Struthio camelus: one gene and its partners. The main gene of each other region encodes a partner of the protein of the gene in region 2 in a complex. Links are inferred from orthologs where the notes say so. Each region holds a gene or a part of one and is shown on either strand. Other genes may lie near its edges. The genes, in order: LAMTOR3, LAMTOR1 and FLCN.

The links.
Region 1: LAMTOR1 (region 2) and LAMTOR3 share a complex: the UniProt entries of both Homo sapiens proteins name them as parts of the ragulator complex. The link is inferred for Struthio camelus from reciprocal best matches to the Homo sapiens genes LAMTOR1 and LAMTOR3.
Region 3: LAMTOR1 (region 2) and FLCN share a complex: the UniProt entries of both Homo sapiens proteins name them as parts of the lysosomal folliculin complex. The link is inferred for Struthio camelus from reciprocal best matches to the Homo sapiens genes LAMTOR1 and FLCN.

What each region holds. Positions count from the first base shown.
Region 1 is NC_090945.1:27,874,937-27,884,471, forward strand, and holds the start of LAMTOR3 (ragulator complex protein LAMTOR3), read left to right. Parts: upstream 1-4,452; 5' UTR 4,453-4,589; intron 4,590-4,693; 5' UTR 4,694-4,732; coding exon 4,733-4,741; intron 4,742-5,028; coding exon 5,029-5,063; intron 5,064-5,949; coding exon 5,950-6,008; intron 6,009-6,860; coding exon 6,861-6,994; intron 6,995-8,089; coding exon 8,090-8,153; intron 8,154-9,166; coding exon 9,167-9,240; 3' UTR 9,241-9,535. UniProt on the Homo sapiens protein: As part of the Ragulator complex it is involved in amino acid sensing and activation of mTORC1, a signaling complex promoting cell growth in response to growth factors, energy levels, and amino acids.
Region 2 is NC_090942.1:224,067,885-224,077,419, forward strand, and holds the start of LAMTOR1 (ragulator complex protein LAMTOR1), read left to right. Parts: upstream 1-4,204; 5' UTR 4,205-4,338; coding exon 4,339-4,380; intron 4,381-9,535. UniProt on the Homo sapiens protein: Key component of the Ragulator complex, a multiprotein complex involved in amino acid sensing and activation of mTORC1, a signaling complex promoting cell growth in response to growth factors, energy levels, and amino acids.
Region 3 is NC_090956.1:4,044,497-4,054,031, forward strand, and holds the start of FLCN (folliculin), read left to right. Parts: upstream 1-3,513; 5' UTR 3,514-3,719; exon of another isoform or gene 3,720-3,983; intron 3,984-4,407; 5' UTR 4,408-4,437; coding exon 4,438-4,686; intron 4,687-5,506; coding exon 5,507-5,653; intron 5,654-6,358; coding exon 6,359-6,580; intron 6,581-7,045; coding exon 7,046-7,206; intron 7,207-7,986; coding exon 7,987-8,078; intron 8,079-8,837; coding exon 8,838-9,028; intron 9,029-9,535. UniProt on the Homo sapiens protein: Multi-functional protein, involved in both the cellular response to amino acid availability and in the regulation of glycolysis.

The DNA of each region.
Region 1 (9,535 bases), on a different chromosome or scaffold from region 2:
ATGGAGAAAATGTAATTCCCCAAATTTTGCAACTGTCTGGAATGTATTGTAAATATACTAATGAAACAAACTGTCAGAGTACATATTGATACTCCTGTGTGTTCTTAATAGAAAAAAAAATGTTTCGAAGGCTTTAGCAAGTACTCAGGCCTTTTGATTCACAAACGAGTCTGAGCTTGCAGTTGATTTTTTAGTTAACAGAGTAAAATGGATGTATAACACATTTGTCAAATATTGGAACAGTGAAGTCAAAGTTAAGAGATGGTCTTAGCAAAGCTGCTTATAATAATCTGATGGGTTATGTCTGCTCTGCAGTTACTTCTGCTTCATCTGAGGAGGTGGTAAATGAACTGCTGCTGAGCAGGTTTATGCTGGTTAGATCGCTATTAGTATTTCTGCAGACCGGAATAACGCAATGCCTGTGTCCTGTAGCGACGTAGACGTCCCAGTAGGTTACGAGTGAGACATAGGCTGTTAGGTTTCTTTGGATTATCTATTGTAATAACTCTTTTAAAAGAAGAAACAGCTAATATGTTTAAACTGGTGGAAAAATGCTACTTCACATTTAACAGATTAAATAGTTGCTGAGTTTGAATATGCAGTAGCATGCAGAATGTAGAAGGATGATATTATTTCCTGTAACATAAATATTAATTTGCTTTAAATATGGCCTATAAACATTCTGTTAATGTTTCTAGTGGGTGCTTCTCTCGCCTAGTTGTTACTTTGTTCCTGAGTCTAAAGTTTTTATCTTCAGAAATGTCGTCATCTTCCCAGGTTTGCTGAAGGAATCTGCTGGAAAGTTCAGAGTGAATCCTTTTATGAGGAAGGTGCTAACTGAAGAGAGTGGAGTACTTTAATCTTTTCAGATGACCTTTCTTCAAAAGGTTAAGTACTCATACAGTTAAGATACTAGAAAGAAAAGGGAAAAACAAAACTGTGATTTTGAACAGCCTCACTTAAAAACCCCTCAGCTTCTCCAGCTGCTTAGAATTAACTGCTTATTCTTTGGATTTAGTCTAATCTAGAATTAAAAACAGGACAAACATGGGTTCTTGATTTCTCCTTTAGAAGAGCAAGTAGGAAAGTCTTTCAAGAAGTAAAAAATCTTGGCGTGCGATTCTGACATACCATAATGAAAAAAGGGAGGTGATTTGCATCTGCTGAAATAACATCGATATCTGTTCTATTTATGGAGCAGCCTGAGTCATGAGCAAGTTCATTGTTCCCATCTGATGAACATTTGCCTGCAAGTTCTCTACCTGTTTAGGGAAAACGAGATTAAATTTGAATTTTTGACTTTTTTTTTTAAACAGTCTCAATTCTTTTATAAGTTTCAAAGAAATATAAAAATACATAGTCACTAAAATGTAATGGATGCTTTTAAATAGGCAGCAGAGGCAACTGTAAATCATGGACATTTTTAATATGCTGTTGTAATGAGTGCAATACAAGGATTAAAGTGGCCAGGCAAAAATACATTTTTTAAGGTTGTCTGCTCCATAAATGTCATGAATCGTCATCATCCTTTCCTAGTGTAGATCTTTCAAACACAGCAGAAGAAAGCAATATCGGATGGTCAAACAAATGCTTTGTTAGAGGAAATCCAGTCAATATGCAAATTCCTGAAATTGTAATTTTAAAAAAGTACTAGCTTCCTAGTTGTCTAGATCTGTTCAATAGACTGCAGTCAGTTTTGCCAGAGGAAGCTTGGTCATGATGATTAATGATGACTGGCAGCCGCAAGCCCTGGTGCTGTATCGCCGTTTTGCTACGGATTTACTATAATCTTGCAAGCATCACTCATCTCTGGGCTTTGTTTTCCCCATGCACCTTTGTAAACCACTTTAGGGAGCCTGGACAAAAGGTACCACATAACAAATGTAAAACATTGTCAGCAGTGCCATATTTGAAGGGTGATCTAGATATTTTTCAGAGCAAATAGTACAAATGTAATAAATATGGGAAAGAAATATGCCATTATAAACCCTCCTCCCCATATATCTGTTCTCTGGGATAGCTGAGACTTCCCAAGCTGGCAAGAATTAAGCTTGACTGTCAGATTTTTCAGGATTTCTCAGGGCAGGGTTTGCAAGCACAGGCTCTGTGTATACATAGGCTGTCACTGGGACTGGAGACGAGATTGCTGATAACTTTAAAATGCAGGAGTCATCTCATAGATGCTCTTGCACAGCTTTCAGTCAGTACTTAGTGTGACAGAGAAGGAAGTAGAATCAATCACTTAGGATGATGCTGCCAAATTTTAACAACCCAGTTGCATTTTTAAATATTTTTATTGTATGGTGAGGAATATCTTAAGAAATGAATGAATCAAGGTTTTTGCATGTAACATTCTCAAAATACTACCAGGAGCTCACATATGAGAATTTTATGGGGATTGCCTTAAGTGTTGCTCTAGTGTGACTAAGTCCCTTTTTAAATTGCCGTGTCTTGTATTTAGAAAGATGCATAGATTCTCAAAATGCAAAGGAATCTGCCCTTTATTACTGAACTTTTCCTCTGTGCCTTGCAAAATTGGCTTGTATCTGGTTATTTGGGTTTTTTTTTTGACCTCACAAGACTTATATGTTCAGAAACATTAGCAAGTTTGAGTCAAGTTTTTTTTTTTTTTCCTGAGCTCCAGTATTGTCATCCAGACAAAATCTTCAGATTCTCAGCCGTGCTCAGTGTGTAGCAGCTCTCCTTCAGAGAAGGAGCACTGTTATATGTTGAACACTCTTTGAAATGCACCACCGTGGTCCTAGGTTCTGACACAGCACGAGTTTTAAGATAGATACACAGTTTCTGTTTTTATACAGTGAGCATCTAGTGGATGAATCTGCTTTGTTTCCTCACCTGAATTTGTTAAATTGTTAGTCTGCAGGTGCATGGGACAAGATCCAAAAGTATGGGTATGTTTATGGGAGATGAGCCTCACTGGAAAAGTGAAACTAGGCATAACTATACTAGGCAGAAATGGACATTTCAGTTTTTGTTCCTTTAACTTAGATGCGAGGGGGGGAATTCTCCAAAACTGTGCTGTTTCCCCCGATCTTCCTAGAAGATGAGCTGTGGTGCTTACTGGAAAAACAGAACCCTTAGTTTTGCTCTGTGTTGACTGCAAGAGAAGAAACATCCGATTCCTATGAAAATAGCTCAACTTCCCGAAGTATTTGAATGCAGACAATAGTTGTTGAGGTTTTTATTCCGCTGCCATTGAAACTAGCACAGCATCTTGTCTGGAATTGTCCTGGGTGTCCTAAATGGAATTAAACAGCTTGTGCCCGAGGGGCTCTGGGGGATCCCAGTTCAGGTCGGAGCCCCAGGGGGGCACAGAAAAGCACAAGGTTCCCTCCCTCTGGTTACCTCTGTTGGTGCCACAGAAATGCTTTTTCTGCCCAGATGGTGAAATAGGCAAATCGGCCAAGCAGCCCTGCGTGTCCTGCAGGCCTCGGCCAGCTGTAGGCGCAAAGGCAGCGTGGGAGGAAAAGCTGCTGGAGCAAACAAAAAAACAAAACAAAACAAAAAACCAAAAAACCCTATCTTTTAAGTTTTTGTGCTGGTTGGTGAAAAGTAGCTGCTAATCTTGCAGTAATCTCTTAGGTGAATTTTGTAATCCTTACGGGGAAATTGGAAATTTCAGACTCCCTTCTTAGTTTCATTGTCACTGTTAACAACAGGAATTTGTTCCAATGTGTTTGATTTCTTCTAAGCATGGTTTAAAAAAAAATCCTTATATTAAGGATTATGCAAAGTGTGTGGGTTTTTTTTAAAGCTTTTTGCATGTATACTTTCCCTGGTCAGGATATAGTTTCTTTCAGATGCCAAGGTTTGCTGGTCTTGGGGCCACTGTGAATACTGTGCATGCGCATGTGTATAGGTGTACAGATTTTTTCCAGCTAATACCTCAAATTTGTGATTGTTTTATATTGTGCTACTGTAAGTTTGCACAGAGCAGGGCTTCCACTGGCCGTGAAAAGTGCCCACCTAACTTTGACAGCTCTGGAGTCGATTCACTTTAAAAAAAAAAAAAAAAAGTGTATTTTTCCAGTAAGCGAAGTGTTTCCCTAGCAGGGGACGTTCCCGGAATGAAACCCGGAGCAAGGGGCTGCTCAGGCTCGTAGACGAGCACTGCAGTGCAGGAGACCTCCGGAAAAAAAAAAAGAAAAATCAAATATTAGCGGGAGCCTGGCAAAAGGGGCTGCACTGAAAGGGGTCCCCCAGCAGGAAACGGACTTTATTTTGCCAATGCGCAGTCGAAGCTCACGAGTGAGGTTTTAAAAGACTTGTGTGGTTTGTAATATACCTGATGTAACACGGGACTGGCATCAAAATAAACTTATTTTCGGTGTGAAAGGCCGCCCGCGCTGTCTCTTCTCTCCGCCGCCCCCAGGGCTCCTGCCGCCGGCGCGGCCGCGTTTGGCCCCGCCGTCGCACCGTAGCCGCGCCGCGGTCGCGCATGCTCGGCGCCTGCCAGCGGGACGAATCTGGCGCTGCCGCGGCGGGGAAGCGCTTCCGGGGCTGTGACGGCCGCGTCGTCACGTGATAGCGGCTTAAAGGGGAAGTGGCGGTGGCGGCTGCGCAGGCAGGTGAGCACTGCCCCCCCCCTTCCCCCCCCACCCCCCCAACCCGGGCCACCCGCCGTTCCCGGGGCCGCCGCGGCGCTGGTGACCGTTGGTACGTTGTCCCGCAGGGCCGCGGAGGTGGCAGCAGCGCCGGGAGGCCCCGAGCCATGGCCGACGTAAGTGCGAGCCTTGGGGTGGGGGGGCTGGGGCCGCGGCCGGGCCCGCTCGCGCGGGGGGTGCTGCCGTTGGGGCGGCGGTTGGGCGCGCGAGCAGCCGTTAACGGCCGCCGCCCGGCCCGCGCCGCCGGGGAGGGAGGGAGGGAGGGGGGGGGGCCGGACCCGCCGGACTGCTGGCGGCGGTCGCGGGGGGAAGGGGAGCCGCCGGCAGCGGGCAGAGCCGGCTGCGGCGCTGTTCTGCGTGCGCTTTCTCTGAGGAGCAACCTGACGGCCGTCTCTCCCTTCAGGACCTGAAGAGGTTTCTCTACAAGAAGCTGCCAAGGTAACGTGGGCACCGCACCGCGCTCGGGTGCCGGCTGCCTGTCCTGTTTCGCAAGTGGTGCGTTTGCGGTTTTTGGGGGTGCTGTTTTGTGGGGTTTTTGGTGTTTTTTTTTTGTTTTGTTTCGGATCTCCAGTGAAGGTAATACAATGCGGTGGCTTTTGGAAGCATCCTTATCTAGCCTGCCAGTGTCAAACGTTTAAGTTGTTTTTAAACTGTGCCAGAGGATGTCTGTGCGGTATCTGACTCGAGAGAACTGTCAATTACTAATCCCTTTTGCTGTTAAAGAGACATGGTTAATCCGAAGGTTAGTGTACTTTTCTGTTGTGTAAGTGAGCTGGAAGTACCTTAAGATGAAACCAGCTTAACCTTGTACTTGTGCGTTTGAAAGGAAGCCCAGTATGCTTTATCACTTCTCAATGAGAAGTGGAAAAAAACACTCCTGGTGACTCAGTCTCCAAGTCCTTGATAACTCAGTTTGGGGTAATTTTAAGTTACTAGTATCATTAAACAGCTGCAGTCAGGAGATCATGCACAAACACAGTGAAACTGGCACTTATTGACTATATACTATATCTCAAGTCTCTTGCTTGGCTAATGAAACTTTTACAGTAACATTCCTCTTTCTGCTGCTGAAAGTTCCACACCATCTTCAGTATTTTTATTTTATACTCACTGTTTTAATTCTTTCAAGAGACCGTGGTTATTGAGCAGTATGTATTTTACAAGTCTCTTCCTGTTGAGTAGTGTTTTCATGATAGGCAGAGCTTACTGCAGCAATTTTTTCCGTATTGCTTTCTTCCCTTTCTTGCATGTTTGTGCAGAAAAAAAACTCTTTGTCACTAATTATTCTTCATTTTAAAAGGTGTATTTTCTTTGTTTTCTGCAGTGTTGAAGGTCTTCATGCTATTGTAGTATCAGATAGAGATGGTGTGCCTGTTATCAAAGGTAAACTTCAGCTTCTCACTGTGTGCTGCAAAGGGGTGGGTAAAAGAATGACAGACTTTTGTGTTTACAGCTGCTATCTGTGAATATCAGATTTTTGCTTTAATAGTTAATTGTGTAATCCTTTCATCTATCTATGTTTATGCAATGTTCCTGATGATGTAGTCCACAGGACTTTTCTTCTTTTGCATCATCAGTGAACATGGTTGGAATGGTATAAGGTGTTTGTATCTTCAGATCACTTGCAGGTTGTTATAAGGTGCTAGGAGGGAAGTTAGTGATGTTTAGTTAGCATAATACCTTGAATACCTTCTGATCTGTGCTCAGAAGAATTTGCATCCAACTTACAGGTTTTATGTGACTCGGTTTGCTTTTTTGGCACTATCATTTGTATCATGTCTCTGCAGTTCTTGTTTAAGATGTTTATACGTTGTAGGTAGAATAGTTTAAGAATGCAAAGATTCAGGTACCTGAAAATATTTACGTCCCAAAGTACTTAAGTGCCAAGCAGATTTTGCGTACCTTCACCTGCCTTCCTGCAAATGAATGCTTGCTGGTGGAGAATGCTGAACCAAAGCAGCACTAACACAGACTGTGCTCCATAAAGGAAAAGTGTTTCTTAGGAGTGCAAGGAAGGATGCTGGTGTAACGACCACAGGTCGTTTACTGAATGTTAACCTATATACTGCTTTTGAAGGTTGCCCCATAGCAGTTAGTTGTTGCAGAAGTGCTGGGGGACAAATAATGCATCTTGTACACCAAATCTACATTTGGAACAGCACCAAGTTGAATGAGGATTTGTGATGCGGTCATAGATACCATGTAAAAACAAAAAATGTTCATGTTTTGTTTCAGTTGCCAATGATAATGCTCCAGAACATGCACTTAGACCTGGCTTTCTGTCCACCTTTGCCCTTGCAACAGATCAGGGCAGTAAACTAGGACTTTCAAAAAACAAAAGCATCATCTGTTACTACAATACATACCAGGTGAGGAACAGCATTGCTTGTTCTTACTGGCCAGAGCAATTCCTACATTGAGAAAGGAGAGGGAAGGTGGTTTAAGCTGTGGTAGGTTTCCAATAGGCTGCTATTAAAATACTTATGTATGTTTTATTTCTGGTGCTACTTAAAGCTAGCTAAGTTAAACATTTGCGATATTTGTTGAGCTACTTTCCTGTTTATCAAACCTGAGAAGATTTACTCATTGAAACTGGTGAGCTTTCCTGAGCAGATAGTAACCAGCAATTTGCTGCAGGTGCTGTTGAAATGGCCTCCAGAACTTGTTATGATGGGTTAACGTTCTCTTGTACAAATGAATACTTGTGTGTTTATGATCAGAGACACCTATTAAAAAAAAAAAAAAAAAACTTCAAATAAGCACATCCAGCTTACTTCACAGTTAATCTTGCTGCAAATAAGACTTCAAGAAAAGAAAGTTTTGAAATACCCATTCAATTTTTACAGACTAGATATTATATTTGTGTCCTGAAATCTAGCATCCAATAAGTTTCTGCTCCTTCTGAAGTCCTGGTGGTCTTGCAAGCTTTTTAGTATGACTGCAGTAAACTGATCAGCTGTTTGGGCTACTGTGTCCAGCTTTGAATGAATTAGTTTATGCACAGGAATATATTGCTTTGATTCTCTTGACACTACTGATATATTGTTGTGCTCAAGGTTTGAGCTCCCAGTTAAGGAAAGAAGAAATATTTCTATACGCTGAGTAGCATTTTAAAGCAATAAACCTGCCTGCCTTCTTGACATCTGTAGAGTGTGTGATTTTCATAGAGTGTTCTGTAGCTTTTGCAGTTGAGTTGATTTCAAGTGGATAATTGAAGAAAATGAAAGGGAAGGAAACACCAGGCTTTCTAAGAACACCTTCCTGTACTGTGGTAAAGGCTCTGTTAGTGTTTTTAACAATGAATCTTATGAAACAGATATGCTTAAAAGCCACTTCTACAGTTCTTACTCCTACTTGCCCTTTAAATTGTGGAGAGTACTTGTTTCAGAAAGAGTTTATGTAGCAAAGCTCTAAAGTGCAAGGTGTGTTAGCTGTTTTCTGAATATTATTCTTTTTCCTTGCAGGTGGTCCAGTTCAATCGCTTGCCTTTGGTAGTAAGTTTCATTGCTAGCAGCAATGCCAATACCGGTATGTCTTCAGATATGCTTTAAATATTATGGCATTTTAAGCCCCAGATGTTTGAATAATTGAAGATAAATTACTTGAATTTAGTTGAAGATATATTAACTTTGCTCCTGCTATGAATTTTATCAGAAAGAGTGTTGTGAGGGGCTGGAAGGAAATGCATGGGTAAAAATTCCTGAAGATTCCTGGTGACTTGCTGAAGACAATACTCTCAGTTAGAAAGTAGCTTGCATCTCCTGTATTTGACTTTATCCTTACTTGTGTGAGAGAATGCACTGCACTGGCAACAATCGTGTCGTATTAACCAGTTGTTTGGTCTCTTTCCGTTAGTGCCACATGAAGTGGACCAAATGTTTTTTAAAAAAAAAAAAAATCTAACGATCTCTAAATTACTCTTTCAGGCTTCTATGCCTTGTCTTTCCCACCCTTGTCAAATGGCTGGCTTCTGGGGCAGGTGCGCTCTTGGTTTTCACAGAAAGCAACATCTGTATCTTACTAAATCAATAGTGGCAGTTATTGCCACCCGCAGTAATGAAACTAATGCAGGGCAAGCTATGTCCCGCATTAACATGTGCAGCTTCATCTTTTCAGTTCTCTAGGATAGGCAAACCCTGGAGTGAGTCACCTGGATTTGCTCACAAGGGTATTGGCTAACGAGGGAGAGAGTGAGAGCAAAAGGGATTTATTTCTGGTACAGCTGTTTGGCCCTTGATAACTCTGGGAAACAGCAGGGCACTAATGGAGGAGGTTTGCAGCACAGCTGACAGCTGCGTTGCAGTGAGTTTGCTCGTGCCTGTGCCTTGGGCCGCACCTCGGAACGGGCACGGGGGCCCTCGGTTTGCTGCCAGGATCAGTTGCCACGTGCCTCTCCCTTGGGGAGCAAGAAGCTGGAGTGAAATGTTCTGTACAGGAAGGATTTCCTGATGTGGCCTCAAAGAGGAGGGAGCTGCGGGTTTTGGAGAGAGGCTTCTGCTGTGGGGTGATCTAATGAGATGTTCTGTCTCTTCTCTTTCCAGGGTTGATTGTAAGTTTAGAGAAGGAGCTCACGCCCCTGTTTGAAGAATTGAGGCAGGTTGTTGAAGTTTCTTAACCTGATGGCATAGCCCAAGTTCAGCATCTCTTTGCAGCCCAGTGGGCAGAAAGATTCAATAATCCTCAGTCGAGTAACATGCCTCAGAAGAAATACCACATCTCCCTAGTATACTAAGTAAGAATAAATTGTACATAGTACTGAATCTGAAATGATCTACTAGTGTGTTGTAGATGGATGTTATTTAGGCCACACTTCTTGTATTGTGCAGTACTGGAGAGACCACCAAAATAGCTCCCGTGGAGTTTAGCTCAGCCAGCTGAGCTGTTTCTATCAGCATGATGCTGTAGGTGCA
Region 2 (9,535 bases):
GCATTCGGGGGTCCCTGGGGCTGGAGGGGAACAGGGGGGTTTCGGCACCAGGGACCCATCCACAGAGGTGGCTGCCGGCCCGGGGGCTCGGAGACATGCTGGGGGCTGCGCCTGGCCCCGGACACGTGCACATGCCATGGGGACACGCGCACAGTGTGGGGACATATGCACACGCCGTGGGGACGTGCACACAGTGCAGGGACACATGCACGTGCTGCAGGGACATAGGCACACACCGTGGGGACAGGCACAGCGTGTGGGCACGTGCACACGCTGCAGGGACAGGTACACAGCGTGAGGACGCGTGCACGCGCCGTGGAGACACGCACACAGCGTAAGGACACGTGCACACAGTGCAGAGACACATGTGCCCGCCACGGGGACACATGCACACGCTGCAGCGATGTGTGCACGTGCCAGAGGGACACACGCACACGCCGTGGGGACATGCGCACGTGCCACGGGGACACATGCACGTGCTGCAGGGATGCATGCACACCGTGGGGACACATGCACACGCCACGGGGACGTGTGCACATGCCGCGGGCCCCTCGCCCCCTCGTCCCGGCTTTGCCAAACCTGTGCCCCACACCTGACACCCTGCACCCCACACGCTGCACCTGGAACCTGCTACCCCGGGGCCCTTCTCCGTGCACCCCACAACTCGCCCCCCCGTGCCCTGCGCCGAGCCCCCCACCCTGCGCCCGGTTCCCTGCCGCCAGCACCCTGCAGCTTGAACGCGACACCCCGCACCCTTCCCTGCCCACCCTGCAGCTTGTACCCTGCCCCCCGCACCCCCCACCCTGCCCCCTGCACCCCCAACCCTGCAACCCCAACCTGCCCCCTGCACCCAACACTCTGCCCTTGCACCCCCACCTTGCCCCACACACCCTGCCCTCTGCAACCCCCTACCCTGCACCCCCTACCCTGCTCCATGCACCCCCCCACCCTGCACCCCTACCTTGCCCCACACACCCTGCCCTCTGCACCCCCCCACCCTGCACCCCCTACCCTGCTCCATGCACCCCCCCACCCTGCACCCCTCACCCTACCCCACACACCCTACCCTCTGCCCCCCACCCTGCACCCCCCCACCCTGGCCCCTGCACCCGACACTCCACCCTTGCACCCCCCACCCTGCACCCCGCACCTCCCACCCCCCACCATGCAACCTGCACCCCCCACCGTGCCCCCTGCACCCCACCACGCACCCTGCACCCTGGCCCCTGCAGCTCCCCCCCTGCACCCCATACCCCGCACCCTGCACTGCCCACCCCGTACCCTGCCCCTGCCCCTTGCACCCTGCGCCTCCACCCCGCGCCGGGGCCGCAGGGCCCAGCCGGGGCAGGCGCTGCGTCGGGCCGGCAGGGCCAGGACGGCTCCTACCTGTCCGTCCCGGGCGGCGGGCAGGCCGGGCCGCGCGGCCCCAGGCCAGGCTCGCCAGCGCCCGGCCGGCAGCCCCTGCGCAGCCCAGCTCCCCGCTCAATTATTGATGGTGTCACCTTAGCCGCAGCCGGCCGCCGGCTCCGGTTACCGAGCTGGGGCGAAGCTGGAGCCGGGGCCCTCGCAGGGGCTGCGGGGGGAGGCTGCACCTGGGGAGAGATGGGTGCAGGAGGTGGAGGGATGGGTGCAGGAGCTGGAGGGATGGGTGCAGGAGCCGGGGGATGGGTGCAGGAGCCGGGGGATGGGTGCAGGAGGTGGAGGGATGGGTGCAGGAGCTGGGGGATGGGTGCAGGAGCCGAGGGATGGGTGCAGGAGCCGAGGGATGGGTGCAGGAGCTGGGGGATGGGTGCAGGAGCCGGGGGATGGGTGCAGGAGCTGGGGGATGGGTGCAGGAGCTGAGGGATGGGTGCAGGAGCCGAGGGATGGGTGCAGGAGCTGAGGGATGGGTGCAGGATCCGGGGCATGGAGGCAGAGCAGTGCCAATGACACCTCATCCCCGCATCCCTCCAGCGGCCCTGCGTGCATTCGGGCGGCGCGGGCGCTGCTCAACGGCCGCCTGCACCCGAAGGCCGCTCGGCCGCGCCGGGCTGTGCAGGGCGCAGGTTGGCGCCGTCCCGTCCGCCTGGCGTCAGGCACGCCGGCGCCGCGCCGATTCCCAGCTGGCAGCTGCCGCCGCGGGACGGCGCAGGGCAGGATGGCGACGCCGGCGCTCCCGACGGCCCGGCTGCAGCGGCTCCGGGGACGCCGGTGTGCCTGGCATGGGGCACCCGGTGCGGGGTGCAGGGTGCCGGGAGCACCAGGAGCAGCAGGAACTGGGAGCACTGGGCGCAGGCAGCACCAAGCCCTGGGAGCACTGGGTGCCGGGAGCACCCGACACCAGGAGCACTGGGTGCTGGGAGCGCTGGGAGCACCAAGCCCTGGGAGCACTGGGTGCCGGGAGCACCAGACACCAGGAGCACTGGGTGCTGGGAGCACCAAGCCCTGGGAGCACTGGGTGCCGGGAGCACCCGACACCAGGAGCACTGGGTGCTGGGAGCGCTGGGAGCACCAAGCACTGGGAGCACTGGGTGCCGGGAGCACCAGACACCAGGAGCACTGGGTGCTGGGAGCACCAAGCACTGGGAGCACTGGGTGCCGGGAGCACCAGACACCAGGAGCACTGGGTGCTGGGAGCGCTGGGAGCACCAAGCACTGGGAGCACTGGGTGCCGGGAGCACCAGACACCAGGAGCACTGGGTGCTGGGAGCACCAAGCACTGGGAGCACTGGGTGCCGGGAGCACCAGACACCAGGAGCACTGGGTGCTGGGAGCGCTGGGAGCACCAAGCACTGGGAGCACTGGGTGCCGGGAGCACCAGACACCAGGAGCACTGGGTGCTGGGAGCACTGGGAGCACTGAGTGCCGAGAGCACCAGGGACTGGGAGCACTGGGTGCTGGGAGCGCTGGGAGCACCAAGCACTGGGAGCACTGGGTGCCAGGAGCACCAGACACCAGGAGCACTGGGTGCTGGGAGCGCTGGGAGCACTGAGTGCCGAGAGCACCAGGGACTGGGAACACTGGGTGCTGGGAGTGCTGGAAGCACCAAGCACTGGGAGCACTGGGTGCCGGGAGCACCCGACACCAGGAGCACTGGGTGCTGGGAGCGCTGGGAGCACCAAGCACTGGGAGCACTGGGTGCCGGGAGCACCAGACACCAGGAGCACTGGGTGCTGGGAGCGCTGGGAGCACCAAGCCCTGGGAGCACTGGGTGCCGGGAGCACCCGACACCAGGAGCACTGGGTGCTGGGAGCGCTGGGAGCACCAAGCCCTGGGAGCACTGGGTGCCGGGAGCACCCGACACCAGGAGCACTGGGTGCTGGGAGTGCTGGAAGCACCAAGCACTGGGAGCACTGGGTGCCGGTAGCACCAGCAACTGGGAGCACTGGGTGCTGGGAGCAGTGGAAGCACTGGGAGCCAGGAGCATGGGCCCCACGTTGGCCCATGCCCTGGCGCTGTGGGGGGCACGTGTGCAATGCACACACACGTACACAGCCAGGCACACGGGGGCAGCGCACGCACACACTCACGTGCGCCTACCCACGTGCCCACCCCCACGCCCACGTGCGGTGTGCACATCCATGTGACCGGCCACAACCCTGCGTGGCACACCCCCACGGGACACCCCCATGCCCATGCACAGCGGGGGGGCCACGTATGTGCAGTTCACCCCACCCCGGGACCACGCACACACCCCGGACCCGCGCGCACACACCCACGAAAGCACACACCCACTGCAACAGGCGTGGACAGTGCGCGTTCCCGTGTGCCACACTCGCACCCCCGTGACTGTGCGCGCGCGTGCAGCGCGCCCTCCCGGGACACCACGCACGCGCCTGTGCCGTGCCGTCACCCCCCCGTGGCAGCGCCCACGCGCGAGCCCGCCACGCCAACCCGGAAAGCGGCAAGACCGCGGCGTCCACGTGACGGTGCCCGCGCGAGACCGGCGCAGGCCCCCCACGTGACGGCGCCCACGCGCGAGCTCGGCCCGCGGCGGTCACGTGTCGGCAGCAGGCGGCTGGGGGGGTGGGGAGCTCCCCCCCACCGCCACGTGCTCTCCGCTTCGCGTGCTGATTGGCTCCCCCGCACGTGACGGCGCGCCTTTAGCTGCGGCGGGGGGGGGGGGGGGGGGTGTGCTCCCGTTCGGATTGGTCCGCCTGCCCACGTGACGCCGGCTGGGCCGGGATGGCGGGTCACGAGGCCGGAAGCGGCAGGAGGGGAGGGAGGGAGGCGGCTCCGCCCCCGCCCCCTCCGCGCGCTGCTGGCGCGCGGCCGCCGCGCTCACGTGACCGGGGCGGCAGGGCCCCTGCCGGACACCGTAGCGGCGCCGCGCCCGGCCCGGCCCTGCTGCGCCTCGCCATGGGCTGCTGCTACAGCAGCGAGGCCGAGGCCTCCGACCAGGTGCGGGGCGGGGGCCGGGGGGGTGTGGGGTGTGGGAGGGGGAGGGCAGGGGGTGTCAGTGGGGCGGGGTGGTGTGGGGAGGGGGGAGCTGGGGTGTCAGTGGGGGGGAGGGGAGCTGGGGGGTGACAGTGGGGCGGGAGAGGTGGGGGAGGGGGGAGCTGGGGTGTCAGTGGGGCGGGAGAGGTGGGGATGGCAGTGGGGCGGGGGGGAGGGGAGCTGGGGGGTGGCAGTGGGGCGGGAGAGGTGGGGGAGGGGAGCTGGGGGGTGGCAGTGGGGCGGGAGAGGTGGGGGAGGGGAGCTGGGGGGTGGCAGTGGGGCGGGAGAGGTGGGGGAGGGGAGCTGGGGGGTGACAGTGGGGCGGGAGAGGTGGGGGAGGGGAGCTGGGGGGTGACAGTGGGGCGGGAGAGGTGGGGGAGGGGAGCTGGGGGGTGACAGTGGGGCGGGAGAGGTGGGGATGGCAGTGGGGCGGGGGGGAGGGGAGCTGGGGGTGACAGTGGGGTGGGGGGATGTGGGGGGAGGGGGGAGCTGGGGTGACAGTGGGGCGGGAGAGGTGGGGATGGCAGTGGGGCAGGGGGGAGGGGAGCTGGGGAGTGACAGTGGGGCGGGAGAGGTGGGGATGGCAGTGGGGCAGGGGGGAGGGGAGCTGGGGAGTGACAGTGGGGCGGGAGAGGTGGGGATGGCAGTGGGGCAGGGGGGAGGGGAGCTGGGGAGTGACAGTGGGGCGGGAGGGGAGCTGGGGGGTGACAGTGGGGCGGGAGAGGTGGAGATGGCAGTGGGGCAGGGGAGAGGGGAGGTCAGGTGGTGACAGGTGGGGGGATGTGGGAGGAGGGGAGCTGGGGTGTCAGTGGGGCGGCGAGCTGAGGGTGGCAGTAGGGCGAGGGGAGGTCAGGGGGTGACTGGGGCAGGAGCTGGGGGGGGTGACAGTAGGGCGGGGGGGCTGGGGGGTGACAGTGGGGCGGGGGGGAAGGGGGGCTGGGGGGGTGACAGTGGGGCGGGGCCTGAGGGAAGGTACCATGGGGGTGGATGTGGGGTGTGTGAGGGGGAGGGGAGCTGGGGGTGACAGTGGGGCAGGGGCCTGGGGGAGAGCACTTGGGGTGGCGGTGGGGCAGGGGGACATGGATAACAGTGGGGTGTGGGGAGGGGAGCTGGGGGTGGCAGTGGTGCTGGGGGTGTGTTTGGGGGGGGAGCTGGGGGGTGACAGTGGGGCAATGGGATGTGGGGGGAGCTAGGTGTGACAGGGAGCCAGGGGGCTGGGGGAAGGTGCCATGGGGGGGTATGGGCTGTGTGAGGGGGAGGGCAAGGGGGGGCAGTGGGGGGAGGGGAGCTGGGGGGGCAGTGGGGCAGGGGGATGTAGGGGGGAGCTGGGGGGGCAGTGGGGCAGGGGGACAGTGGGGTGGGGTGATGGGGGGGGAGTTAGGGTGGCAGTGGGGCAGGATGTGGGGGGAAAGGAGCCGGGGTGACAGTGGGGCAGGGGGATGTAGGGGGGGAGCTGGGGCAACAGTGGGGCAGGATGTGGGGGGAAGGGAGCTGGGGTGACAGTGGGGCAGGGGGATGTAGGGGGGGAGCTGGGGTGACAGTGGGGCAGGGGGATGTAGGGGAGAGCTGGGGCGACAGTGGGGCGGGGGGACAGTGAGGTGGGGGGGAGCTGGAGTGACAGTGGGGCAGGATGTGGGGGGAAGGGAGCCGGGGTGACAGTGGGGCGGGGGGACACGGGGGCAGTGGGGCGGGGGTGGCGGGAGGGATGGGGGGAGGCCGGCCAGTTAGTGAGCCTGGGCGGGGGAGGGAGGCCGGTGAGGGGGGGCCTTGGGGGAAGGGGCACGTTGGGGGGCATCAGTGGGGTGACAGCGGAGGGGGTGCTGGCGTGAAGGTGGGGTGCTGCTCGGTGGGCCTGGGTGGGGGGGAGCGGCAGTGGGGCGGAGAGCTGGGGGGGGCCCGGGGGGCTGAGCGCTGGGGCAGGAGGGGTGTCAATGGGGCAGCAGGCGGGGGGGGTTCGTTAGGGCGCCGGTGGGGCGAGGGTGTTTAGGGAAGGGGCTGAGGAGAGGCCCTGCGGGATTTCGGGGCTCTTGCCATGCTCTTGCGGGTGACGCCGGCGCGCCGCTGCCGTCCTCCGCCTGGCGCCGGGGGGACGGGGAAAGGGGGGGAGTGGCCTGCCCTGGGCAGGGCTGGGGCTCGGTCTGCGGAGCCGCTTTTGGGGAAGGCTTGCGGGAGAGGTGTCGCGACCCCTCAGGTCTTGCAGCCAGGCGCCGGGCCCCTCCGTGGGGAGGGCTGCGCGGCGGCTGGGCTCCGACGCGCCCTCCGAGGCAAACGGAGGCCACGGCTGGGACTCGTCCCTCTGGTTCCTTGGCCTCGCCGGCCTCTGGCTGGGGCAGAGGATCTGCTGCGGCCCTCTGGCTCGCGGCTTCCTCCTTCCACACAATAGGAAATGGGCCGGACTTTTGTTTTCGGAGGAAAGGTTTGGCCTTGATGATGTTTGTCACGTGGTCGGAGCAGGGCGCAGGGCTCGGGGGACTGTTTGGGCTGAGGCCCGGCCTCTCCGGTAAAAGCTGTTTGCAGGTTCCCCCCCTCACCTGACCCCATCCTCTTGGGTGCCCTTCTCCCGAATCCAGCGCAGGCTGGTGGCAGTCGCCGCTGGGCTGGTGCGTGGGCTCGGGGCGGTGTGGCGCCCTCGATGGCGCTCTCAGGAGATGGGTGCTGCCTTCAGAAATCCCACGTGCACAAATAACAGCCAGCTGTGCCTTAACCTGCTGGTCCCGAGCGACAGCATCGCGCTGACCGAACCGAGAGGCTGGCTTTGGTGCTTGTTCCTGCAGGTGGTGCTTGTAGCGCGGGCTTGAAGGCGCCGGTAGGCTGCGGTGCCTGTGTTTCGGGGGGAGTCTTGCTCTGGAGGGAGTCTAGCTTGTGCATCGAGAGCTCAGCGCGGAAGAGCTGTTTAGCTGGCGCCGCTCGCAAGAACAAAGCGTTTGCTGGAGAAAGTCGGAGAGAAGCACAGCTCTTCCCGTGTGCTTCTGGGATTCGCTCCTCCTTACGTTCTTTGGTCTTTCCTCCCTTTAACGTAATTCCTGAAAGTCCTGAGTACGAGTGAACTTGGGCACGCGGCTTCAAAAGGAGCGTTTATTGCGTTCATCAGCTGGGGGAGATGCAGGCTTCAGGCTTGCTCTGTGGTAGTGGCCACGAAGCGTCTTTGCCGCAAGGGAGCTGAAAAGCAGCGTGGGGCGACTGTAGCTGAAAGGCAGGCTTGCGTGGGTTGTTGTGGGGCCGTGCGACGCGGCTCTGCGTCTGGATGCCTGCTGGAGAAGGTGCTGCGTGTTCGCAAGCGCGTCGCTGCGAGGAAGGCGAAGAGTCGGGGAGAGCGTGGTGCGGGGTGTCCTGCAGCTCGCGGGGAGGAACAGCCCCGTTCTGCGGGCTGCGAGGCCGGGGATGCCCTTCCCTCGCGCTCGGGAGGCGCCGCAAGGGACCCGGCTGGCTCGGCCTGTGCTTTCTGCTGTGAGCCTCCCCCTGGAGAGAGGTGGCTCGACTACGTTGGGCAAACCCCGCGAGGAAGGAGGATTCCGGAAATGTAGATGTCCGGGTCCCCCCACCGTGAAGGTGAAGGACGCGGCCGTTTATCTAGGCTTGTGTCGGCGAGGGTGGAAGGAGCAATGCGAGGTCCGCAGGTGAGGAGCGCCCGGCGCGAGCGTGGCGTAACGTCGGGGCTGGGTAGGCTGCCCCGATGCTGCCGCAGCGCGGGCTCCTCGGTGGGCTCGGGCAGGGCCGTGACGTCCACGCTGATATTCCAGAACTTGCAAATCCGCTCCGGCAGCGTCCCTCGGCTCTGAATCCAGGCTGTCGACGTGGTGCAAATTACTGCCTCCTTCTGCTGTAGGCGTACCGCCCGCTCGGGGCGGAAAGGAGGCCGGGTGGCTCCTCCGTCTTGAGCCTTCCACAAGGCCCGGCGGGCCAGAGCTGCGCCTCGGAGCGGGCTGCAGCTCAGGCCGCCTCTCGTTGCGCCGCTCCGGCCTTCAGGCGGCCTGCGCCGCGGGTCGATGCGGTCGGGTGGGATCCAAAGGCTCTGGAGCTGGCGGCGTGGCTGGGATCCCGAAATCGTAACCCCAAAGAAAGGGCTGACCGCAGAGCCAGCCTGCTGCTCCTAATGATGCCGCGCGGCCGCGGGACTCGCTGGCTGCTCCTAGGCCTCTTGGGTCTGCGATGAGCTTTCTGCTCTCGAGTCCTGCCTCGGAAAGCAGACGCTTAGCGGTAACGTAGCGGAAACGTTCCCCTCCTGACACTGTTTTCCCTGGCTGACTAAACCTCGCCATGAGAAGTCTCTCGCTGATCTGCGCTCGCGGTCTTCCCTAATTTCCTTGCTTCAGCTTTGCGGATTCCCTGTGGAAGCGGCTGTGGCCAAGCGCTTGCCCCTTGTCACGATAAGAGTCAGGGTGGTTTAACTCGCTGATTTATGCCCACCTCCTCGGGGCGCCTGCCCCCCCGCGCAGAGTGGACGGACCCCTCTGCCCTCTCTCGCCGCCCCTGGCTCTGCAAGCTCGCGGCTGGTTCCTCTTGTCGGATGACAGCACCGCCTCGGAGGCAGAGCGCTCCTCTTGCCTGTAATCCTCTTCGGGGCATGTTTTCCTTGCGCTTCTCCCGCTGTCTAAGCGATGGCAGCGGGAGCGCGGCCTGCAGGGTAGGCGGAAGGGCCCTGGTGCAGCCAGCAGGTCACCTGTAAGATGAGACCCCGTCTCGGCACTGCTGCCGCAGCGCTCGGAGCCGCCTTCGGACTACGGATGTCGGCCCGAATCCACGAGTAACGTCTACAGCTGTCACGGCAAAACGCGTCTTGGCGCTGACAGCACCGGTGTCAGGCTTTCCTTTCTGGGACAGGGCGGCTGTGCCTGCTGCCGCCTCTGCTGCTGAGCAGCTCCGAGTGCCCCCAGGCAGAAACTTAATCCGCTCCCCCTTTCCCTGCCGGAGAGCTCGCCCGCGGCAGCCTGGGCTGAGCAGCCCCCTTCCCGTGCCTGGCCTAGGGCAGGGAGGAGAGGGCCGGTGCTGGACGTTTGCACCGGCGTTTGCCCACAGGAGGAAGTGAAGAGAGGCAGATGTTGGCCAGGGAGGAGCTAAAGACGGGCTGCTGGCGGGGAGCAGCTTTGCGAGGCCCGGTGCGGGGCCGCGGCTCCCCGCC
Region 3 (9,535 bases), on a different chromosome or scaffold from region 2:
TAAGGATTTCTGGCTCTTGCCGTGTGGAACTTGTATGTATTGAGGTCACCAGTGGTTGGAAAATATATCGTTTGTGCTTCCAGTGCTGATACAGAACTGTTGGGGTTTTCATTTGAAACGGGCATCTTAATTCTAGCAGAGCCTCTGTGACTGAGTGCTCTCTAGTAGCAGAGAAGTGTCCACAGGCTGTTCTTTAGGTGGTGAATGAAGTTTTTAAAAGTATAAAATAGCAGTTTAGTAGCGAACACAGCATAGGTCCATAGCGTTAGTAGCTCACCATTGAGTACTTGTGCTTCCTATCATAGCAACTTCCATATTTGAAGGCAACTTTTACACCTAATCTTAAAGGAAAATCTTGTTTTTTTTTTTTTTTCACAACTTGCCTTACCAGTCTTGTAATTAAAGATATTTATGATTTTTAAAGTCTTTTCCTAGTTAATCCTGCAGTGATTTCAATGCTGAACATGCTCATACAATTTTCTGCTCTGGTACTGTGGAAGTGTTAAATATGTGATTCATAATGTTGTGGGCTCAAGCGCAAAGTTGGGTGGTAGAAGTATTTACGATCATATGCAGTAGTCACAGAAAGCACTGACAGTGACTAACCCCAAACTGCCACGTATACAAATATGTGGAAAGCTCGCCTTTTGTCACCAAGGGACCACTTGCCGGGGGAGAATGTATGAAGAATGTTTTCGTGAAGTTTGAGAAGAATGAGAAATGTCCACTTCGCATGGCTAACGTTTTGTAGCACTAGTTCCTATTAGTGAACACGGACGTACCTGCTGAGAGCTGTTGCAGTGGCTTTTGTATGTGTGGAGTTACAAGCAAACTAATACATGCAGCTGGCAAAGGGCAGCTTTTTTTTTTCTTTTTTTTTCCTCTTGCCAAAAGTAGGTAAAGTAAATCATACTACATGTCAAAAGGATGTAGAAATTGCTATGTGATAGTTTCAAAGCATTGCCCTTAAAAAAACAGATTAAGAATAGCAGCATTTATATATAATCTGAAAGTTTGAGACCTGCTAAAGTTTGTTTTCTGATGTGGATAATTGTGCTGCTAAATTCCCTGACTGCTGTTGAAAATTCAAAGTCAGGTCCCACCACTAGAGCTGAGTCGATGGAAAGCGTTCACCAAAAGTGCTTTGCAGAAGGGCTTCTAAGCAGGGGGGTCTGATAAATACGTTCAGTCTGGCATCTGCATGTCTTGAGATCCTATTGAAAGCAAGTCTTCCAGATTTTTAATGGAGTAGCTCCTTCAAGTCTTGGAACTAATAGCGTGGGGCTGTGGCCAGCTGAGAAGCTTTGAGAACACTTGAGCTTTCTGGTTGTAACTTCTATTCTACCAAAGCCCTTCCCTACAACAAATATAAGGCCACTACGTGCTGTGTTTATCCAAACTTAGGATGTGAGAAGTGCTAGTTCTTCCAGTCGTGCATGACCGCAAGGTGTGATCACAAAATACTGAGTGCGTGCTTTGATATCTAACCCATATTTTCATGCATCTTCATTAACTGCATTTTATATCTGCATTAATTAAGGTAACATGAGACTTGCAACTACACTTTTTAGCCACAGGAGGGATCTCCAGTTCAGTTATACGTAGCAGCTACTGATGTGGGATTTTGGGGGTTTTTTGTTTTGTTTTTTAAAGAAAGGGCTAGAAGTTGCTTGTATACAACCACCTCTCCTATTTTGGTGCCACTGAGGAGCACTAACTAGTGAACTTTGCTAATACATCTGCAGTATTTCCGTTGCGCCAAATGCTTTTGCGTAATTAAAGTTGCCTCGTTCTACACAAATTCCCTTTCTCTATTCTACAGTACAACTGCGACCCGTTTTGTGTGTTGTCATGGGTTTTCTGTATAACGTAGGAATTGTTTTCTGCATGGCCATACTGGCTGAGGAGGTTAGACCTGAGAAGCTGTTTAAATGTACTATTGGAAAATAAAGATAACAAACGAGTAATTCTTCTTAATTTGTCTTAAATGGCTGGCCTGAAAGAACGAGATAGTAGGTGTTTCTTATTTGGCTTTCTCTTGGCTTTTGGGGGGTTCTCTTGTTCTTGTCGCTTCTCAGGACAAGTGATGGCTTACAGTTGGTCGGAGGGAGACTCTAGTTGTTGTCTGCGCGTCGCCATGCCCTGTGGTCAGGAGTTGTTCAAGCTCTGTTGGTAGCTTTTCAGAGGTTTCCCGGAGTGTTTCAAGTAGGAATAGCTGGTTCCTTTTGTGCAAGCAGGCGGTAGGACCTCCTTAGGAAGAGCTGCTGCAGGCCCTGGTCCAAGACGGGCTCCAGGGTTAGATGGACTCTGGATCAAACATATGCTGCAAATGAGGTCTCTTTGCATTCAAATCTCATCTCTTGTGTTATGATCACCATCAGAATGATGAGTGCCATTTTCTCCACCAGAAGCATAACTCTTTAGTCCAAGCATGGCTGCTTGGATCCAAGGGCACATATTGTAGTAATCATTGATCTCTGCTATTTCGGAGGATTTAAACTGTCTGCAGCAATGCAAGGTGTGCTCAGCTGAATGGTCAAAAGTATATATATCTATATATTTTTTTCTGTTCTCGTGTGAAGAACAATACAACCCTCTCTCTGCCTTAGCGCGGTTTCCAAAAATGTTATAGATCTATGTTATTCCATGGCAGAAGACTTACCATAGTGCTCAGGTGTTCTAGGGCTCACCTACAGTGGAAGGGGAAGGGGGAGAATCTAGCAATTGATTATTTTAAAGCCTGAAAGGATAATTATTTCCCCTGGAATTTGAGGTTTATCTCTTCATTGCATTTTCCTAGGGATAAATAGTGAGCTAGTACCACTGCCACCACTAATGCCCAACTGGTGCAAGTGAAAGGAGGGGGGATGCGTATAGCAGGAGAGACTAAAACTGGCTTGTTTCTTTTAACTCGAGGTGGCTGCTCCCTTCCTCCAGGGTCTTAATCTGGGCCTTGCTGGGCTGACTTTCTAGATATAATTAGGGGAAAAAGACAATACTTAAAGGCTTTTTCCATTATCTGCCCTAATCTCGTATTTTATTAGTCTACAGCATACGTCGTACCGCTCGTCTAGGCTCTCTGCGCCCCCCCCGGAAGAGGAGTCCCCGAGCGCGGCTGCGTTCCCACACCGGCAGGCTGGCGGAGGCGAGCCCCGCGACCGCGCACAGCCCCGCGCCGCGCACCCGGGAGCCCCCCCACGCGCCTGCGCGCGCGGGGCGCCACCCCGCGCCCTGTGGCTGGCACGTGACCCGCCCTTTGGACCGCACCACCCGCGCCGGGCAAGGGCGGGGGTGCGGCGCCGGCTCAAGGCCCAGCGCCTGCGGTGGTGGCAGGGCGGCAGCCCGTCCCTCGCTCGTCTCAGGGGTCGGGGCTCTTTCTCGGCGCTGGGTCGCCCGGCGAAAGAGCCGGAGAGGGAAGGGAGGAGCCTTCGGCCAGAGCTTATCGCCCCCCCTACTTTTAGGGAGTGGTTCTGCCCAACGCGTGTGCAAAGGGCGGTCGTGGACCGAGCCATTGCCGAACCGGGGGGGGATGGGGGGAAGCGGCCACTCGGGGAAGCGGCCAGCAGGTGTCGGCTCCGTACCGGGGACGAGGAGCTGCCGGCGCCGCTGCGCTGCCGCGCTCCTTGCTCCTTGCCGCCCCTTGACGGCGGCCCGAGCGGAGCCGAGAAGTCATCTCCTTCCCCCTCCCCCTCGCCGTCGCGTAGGGATGGTACAGGCCGGTGGGTCAGTCAGTGTCAGGCGCGCGGAGCCACGGGACGGGCCGGGGCGGGGGAGCCCGGAGCCGCGGTGAGTGTGGGGGGGTCCGGTCCGGTCCGGTCCGGTCCGGTCCCGTCGGGCCTGAGGCGTCCTGGCCCGGACGGTCCGGTCCTCCTCACGCCGTCCGGCGGGGCCCTGAGGCGTCCAGGCCTGGTGGGGGCATCGGTCTGGCCTAGTCTCGCCCCCTCAAGGCCGAGGTGTCCGGGCCTGGTGCCGGCTGAGGGGAGGTCGGTCCAGGCTGGGGTGTCCGTGAGGCGCGGGGCCGGGTCTGCCGGGGGTCCCGCTTCTCTGGTGCGGGTCTAGCACCCCGGCGAGCAGCCAGCCCGCTGCCTGCTTGGCAGAGGGGTGACTGTGGATCTGCCCTTGCTCTGCTACGGTCCCGGCTGCGGAGCGGTCAGGGATGACGAAGGCCTGAGTTTGGTCTGCCCTGTGGGGAACTTGGTGTCAAGGCTTCGCTTGGGCAAAGAGAAGACACTCTGCAAGCTGCTGCTGGTGTCTTTCAGCATGGGAAAAATGGACTGAGCGTGTAGTCCCTTTAGCTGAGCTTAGCCCCACGATCTCATGGAGGAGCGTAGAGAAGGACTTGTGCCGAGGGGTGTTTTAGCCTCTGTTTGTTTTACTGATGTTGCGTGCTTCCTTGCTTTCCTGCAGGAGGCCTGACCTATGTGCTGAGCTCTCACTATGAATGCTATCGTTGCCCTCTGCCATTTTTGTGAGCTCCACGGTCCTCGCACCCTCTTTTGTACCGAGGTGCTACATTCACCGCTTCCTCAAGGTGCAAGCAGCGGGGACGTCTCTGGGCAGAATGAGCAGGCGGAAGAAGAAGAAGGCGGCATTCAGATGAGCAGTAGGATCCGCTCACACAGCCCAGCAGAAGGTGCCAGTGCTGACTCCAGCAGCCCAGGGCCAAAAAAGTCAGACATGTGTGAGGTAAGTGTGTATGCGTGTGTGCAGACATTGGTGACCCCTTGCTTAACTAAGGGGCTCATGGATTCTCTAATTCCAATTGTATTGCTTAGGAGGAAGAAAATGCACGTGACCTACGCTCGCATTTGTGTGTGACTGCCAGTACCAAAAGATCTTCAAGTCCTTAAAAACTGTAATAACCCATGACAGGATGTTAAGGAACTGTTTTGTGCATATAGGCTTTGGCAAGGTGATCTTTTGAGGACACTTTGGCCTATGTTACCTGATTCTCTGGTGGCTGAGAAATGGCTCGTTCATCCTTGAAGAGGACCTGCTTCATTACGTTAGGTCTGGCCGTAGATTAGTAAACTTTAACAGCAGCATTGAACAGGAACCGGGAAAAAATCCCAAAAGCAATTAAAATGATAGAGAAAATACATGTTTGCAGTTGTTCACATGCTTTTCTGAGCTACTTAAGTTAGTTACCTTCTTTTAGATAATGGCCATTTTTATTAGCTCGTTAGTTTCGCAGTTGCTGTTAACGTTGAACTGAATTAGATGACTTGTAGAGTCATCATCAAATCCCGGATCAAACTAAACAGTGGAAAAAGAGCATAGCAGCTGAGGAAATATAGCCCTTAGGATGCTAGTTGAGGAGCTGGGTTCAGATTTGGACCTTGCCTCAAACTTCCTATGTCCAGCTTACTCTTAATGAATATCTGCATTTGCATCTGTAAATGTAAACATCACTTCCCTACCTTTTGAAGGGAACATGCAGAGGGCTTTGAAAACCTTAGGTAATTGCATGCTCATTTATGGTTGGATTTTGCTTTTCTATCTTCAGGGTTGCCGCTCTCTTGCAGGAGGACATCCTGGATATGTCAGCCACGACAAAGAGACTTCAATCAAATATGTCAGTCACCAACACCCAAATCACCCCCAACTGTTCAGTATTGTGCGTCAGGCCTGTGTTCGCAGTCTGAGTTGTGAGGTAACTGGCTTGGAGTGCAGGGGGAGAATCTGGTTTGGGGCTTACGCATTGTTCTGAATCCAAGATACTGCTTCGTTGATCTTAGCCGCTCTGTGCAGCCTGAAACAAGGAAGGAATGGAGGTGGAAAGACAGACATAGAAGTCCTGTTTGTTCCAGGATTGGTGGGAATTTTCCGGGTTGATCTTTGCTAACCGGGGTGGGGGGGAGTTCCTTCCTCTTGCCTTGTGACACCAGAAGTTTCCCTTTATTGTTTTTGCTCCTATGCATTTATTGTTTTTCTTTCTGAGATAAACTGTGTTTGTAAAAATGTTGCAATCTGTTGCTTTGCATCAAGAAACGTTTTATCTTTGCAGACCGTTTACGTTCAGCATCTCACAGAAGGGAAGGGGAACCTTACGGATTAATGAGTGTTTGTGTGTCAGAATCAGCAATTCCTTGTGGAGTCTCAACGTGATTATAGTGGAGCAGAGCTGAATTCTTAAAATAATTTAAATGAGGGTCACACACTTGCAGGCTATCTCTGGAGGTCTGTTTGCTTATGTATTTTGGATAGCAGCCTAGAGAAGGCTTGTTTTATTCACCAGGTAACTTAGGCTTCATGGGAGGGGGTGTTAAAGAGCAGGAGGCTTTGTTCAAGCAGTTCATTAGTGTTTCAGCTATGCGATGTACTGAACTAGTTTGGTGTATGTGTCCCTTCCCTTCAGGTCTGTCCAGGACGTGAAGGCCCTATTTTTTTTGGAGATGAACAGCATGGCTTTGTGTTCAGCCACACCTTCTTTATCAAAGACAGCCTGGCTCGTGGTTTCCAGCGCTGGTACAGCATCATCACTATCATGATGGACCGGATTTATCTCATCAACTCCTGGCCTTTCTTGTTGGGAAAAATCAGAGGCATCATTGACGAGCTTCAGGGCAAAGCGCTCAAGGTGGGTCAGTGCGGGAGTGGATTTGGATCAACTTTATGGCAGTTGGTCTGCAGATGAATCAGAAAGCTAATGCAGCTCACTGCAGCCAGAGAGGTCGTTAAGGTTGACACAAGGGACAAGAGGAGAGTCCACATCAGGGCATAGGAGAGGAGGAGCAAGCTTCAAGTCGGTTTAAACCAGCTATAACGCTTTTCACAGCCCTAACTGCTAGACACTGTCTCCATTAGGAAATTCAAGTAGCTATTAAGATGTGAAGAACAACATTTTAGGGAGCACGGGTGTCACTTGATGGTAATTTTAGTCAGTCGAAGAATAAAGCGTCCCTTCCCTCTCTTTTCCCATAATTTACAACGTATTTTGGGTGACTGTATGTGATATGTCCTTTTCACTTGTTCTTTTGTCTCAGGTTTGCTTCAGCATTTTATTTTTTTCGGTCTCTTTTACTGCCCTTCTTTTTTAACACAGGTGTTTGAAGCAGAGCAGTATGGGTGCCCTCAGCGTGCCCAGCGGATGAACACAGCGTTCACTCCCTTCCTGCACCAGCGGAACGGCAACGCAGCCCGCTCCTTAACATCACTGACCAATGATGAAAACCTGTGGGCATGTTTGCATACTTCCTTTGCTTGGTAATGCCATTTATGTTTCTAGCTTCTGTAACTCCTTCAAGAGCAGAAAATTCTCATGTTCTGAAATGGTGGAAACGCGAATGGACTTTCCAGTTGGTTGTTCCTCAATTAGTAAGTTGGGCTTTGTGAAGTAGTCCCCGAATGAGAAGGAATTAAGCACAGAAAGAGAGCAGCCGTCTGGAGCCTTTAGGACAGAAGTTCTCTTGTTGCTGTGAAGTAAACCTATTAACGTGGTTGCTGATGGAAACCATGTCTATCTAGATGGAAGGACTCTGCACTATAAAAATAAGTACAAAAGAAAGCAAGAAAAGATGTCCCCAGCCCCATTCTGTTGTACCTGGGATTCACACCTGAAGTACAGTGGTTGTTCACCTGGAGGTGCCCGTGTATTGTGAGATACAGTGTGAGACGCAGCGTTTGGCGCGGTAGCATGTCTGTGAGATTCCACAGCACGTTGCTCCAGTGCCTGACTTGCTCCTCAGACTTCCCTGGAAAGATGCCACAGAGAGGGTTGCAACACTGGCATGTGGCTTGAATAGGGGGGTAAGTGTTGCACAAAGTAATTGCAAAATGGTAGGCCTTTCAGTGACTGGGTGGCTGTAGTTGTAAGATGCATTGATAGTTACAAACAGAGAAAAGAATCGAGAAGTGTTGAGAGGAACCACAGAGTGGTAGTGATCCGATATTTTGTTAAGCTCGTAGCACCAAGTTTCTTACACGACTTTTGTACCTAGCAAATGGGCTTAATGAGCGCTCCTCTCGTTTTTTCAATGTTTCTAGGCTTCTGAAAGCTTGTGGCAGCCGACTTACAGAGAAGCTTCTGGAGGGAGCACCAACAGAAGACACGCTTGTTCAGATGGAAAAACTTGCGGGTGAGACTAAACTTTCCAAGAAGAATTTGCTTGGAGAATACTTTGGGTGGTGAAATACCAGGTCCTTTCGTCAGCATGATAAACGCAGCCATCTCTCTCAGACTTTACCTTTGTGTTAGTCTGTGCAGTAGCTAGTGTGTTCTATATGGAGATGACTGACAGGAATGTGAAACCAAGGCCCTTGGCTTCATAGGCACTCTGCACGCACATGTGTTGTTCCCATTTCTGTAGGAGTGTTGCATCATCATGATTATTGTTCTGTCTGGCTGGGTTGGCTCTCCCAATGAATGTCTGTGGCCAGAAGAATTTACAGTCACAAGATAGGAAGCTTTCTCCTTTGTCATTTTTCCACAAAATTTCTAAAATTAAAGGATTAGAAATTGTTCTTACACTGAATTATTTTATTGATCCGTTTAGACTAGAATCTGGAAAGCTTTGGCTATGACCTTTAAAGGAAGACTAGAGAATGCATAGCTGGTCAAAAGATATGATGTTATGTGCTGTAGATGAAAATTCCTTCTTGACCTTTCAGTGGTTATCTTATATCTGAAGTGTGAAACTTGACTACACTTTTTACTTTAGGTCTATTTGTTACTAATGCTAGTATTTTCAGTTACTGTGTTTGCTCTACATCTGAACTCTGTCTCCCCACATCCAGCCAAACACAGTGGGCTGCAGACTGTGTAGGCACTTCTGAGGCAGTTCCCATTCCTGGAGAGCAGCGATTTTTTTTATGACCATTCTGCCTTTTTTGTCTAGACCTGAAAGAAGAGTCTGAAGGCTGGGATGGTTCTGAGGAAGAAGAGAAGCCTTCTGCCCAGACAGATGTTGTAGAAGGGCAGGAGCTGTCTAAATGTCCACCTGAAACATCTCTGATGCCAGATTGCAACAGCTGGAACGTAGCTCACCGAAGGTTGTCTGTCTTTCGCTCCCTCAGGCACATGAGACAGGTAAGAGGAGCACGCTTACTCTCTGGTGTATGCTGTGTTCAAAAGCTAATAACCTCTTGTCCTCCTGTGAAGTTTCTTTTTAAAAGATATATTTTTTTCCTACGGTCTGCACTTGACTTCTTTCCTGGTTCTGCGTGCTACCTGCTTTGCCTTGCTAGTTACATGAGTCCGCAAAGAAACATGAAGCTGGTTGATATTTGAAAGCTAGTGACGGTGTCAACTGCATCCCTGAGGACTCTTCCTGTCTCTGAGATCATCGTCCTTTTGTCTTTGGCCTCTAGTGATCATCTGTCATGTGGGAGATCGTCATATGATTTCTCTCAAATTCTGTAGTTGTGCTCTTCCCAAGAGCAATGACAAAAATTTAGTACAGAGATTGTGCAGCATCTTCGAAGCCAAGTTTTATTTTCTCATAATGAAAGTGTTTGAGAGGAAAAAATAAATCATTTACAAAGAAAACAAATGGTTCTGTGCAGATCTAGCTTTTCTGCAGCGCTTCCAGTTGCC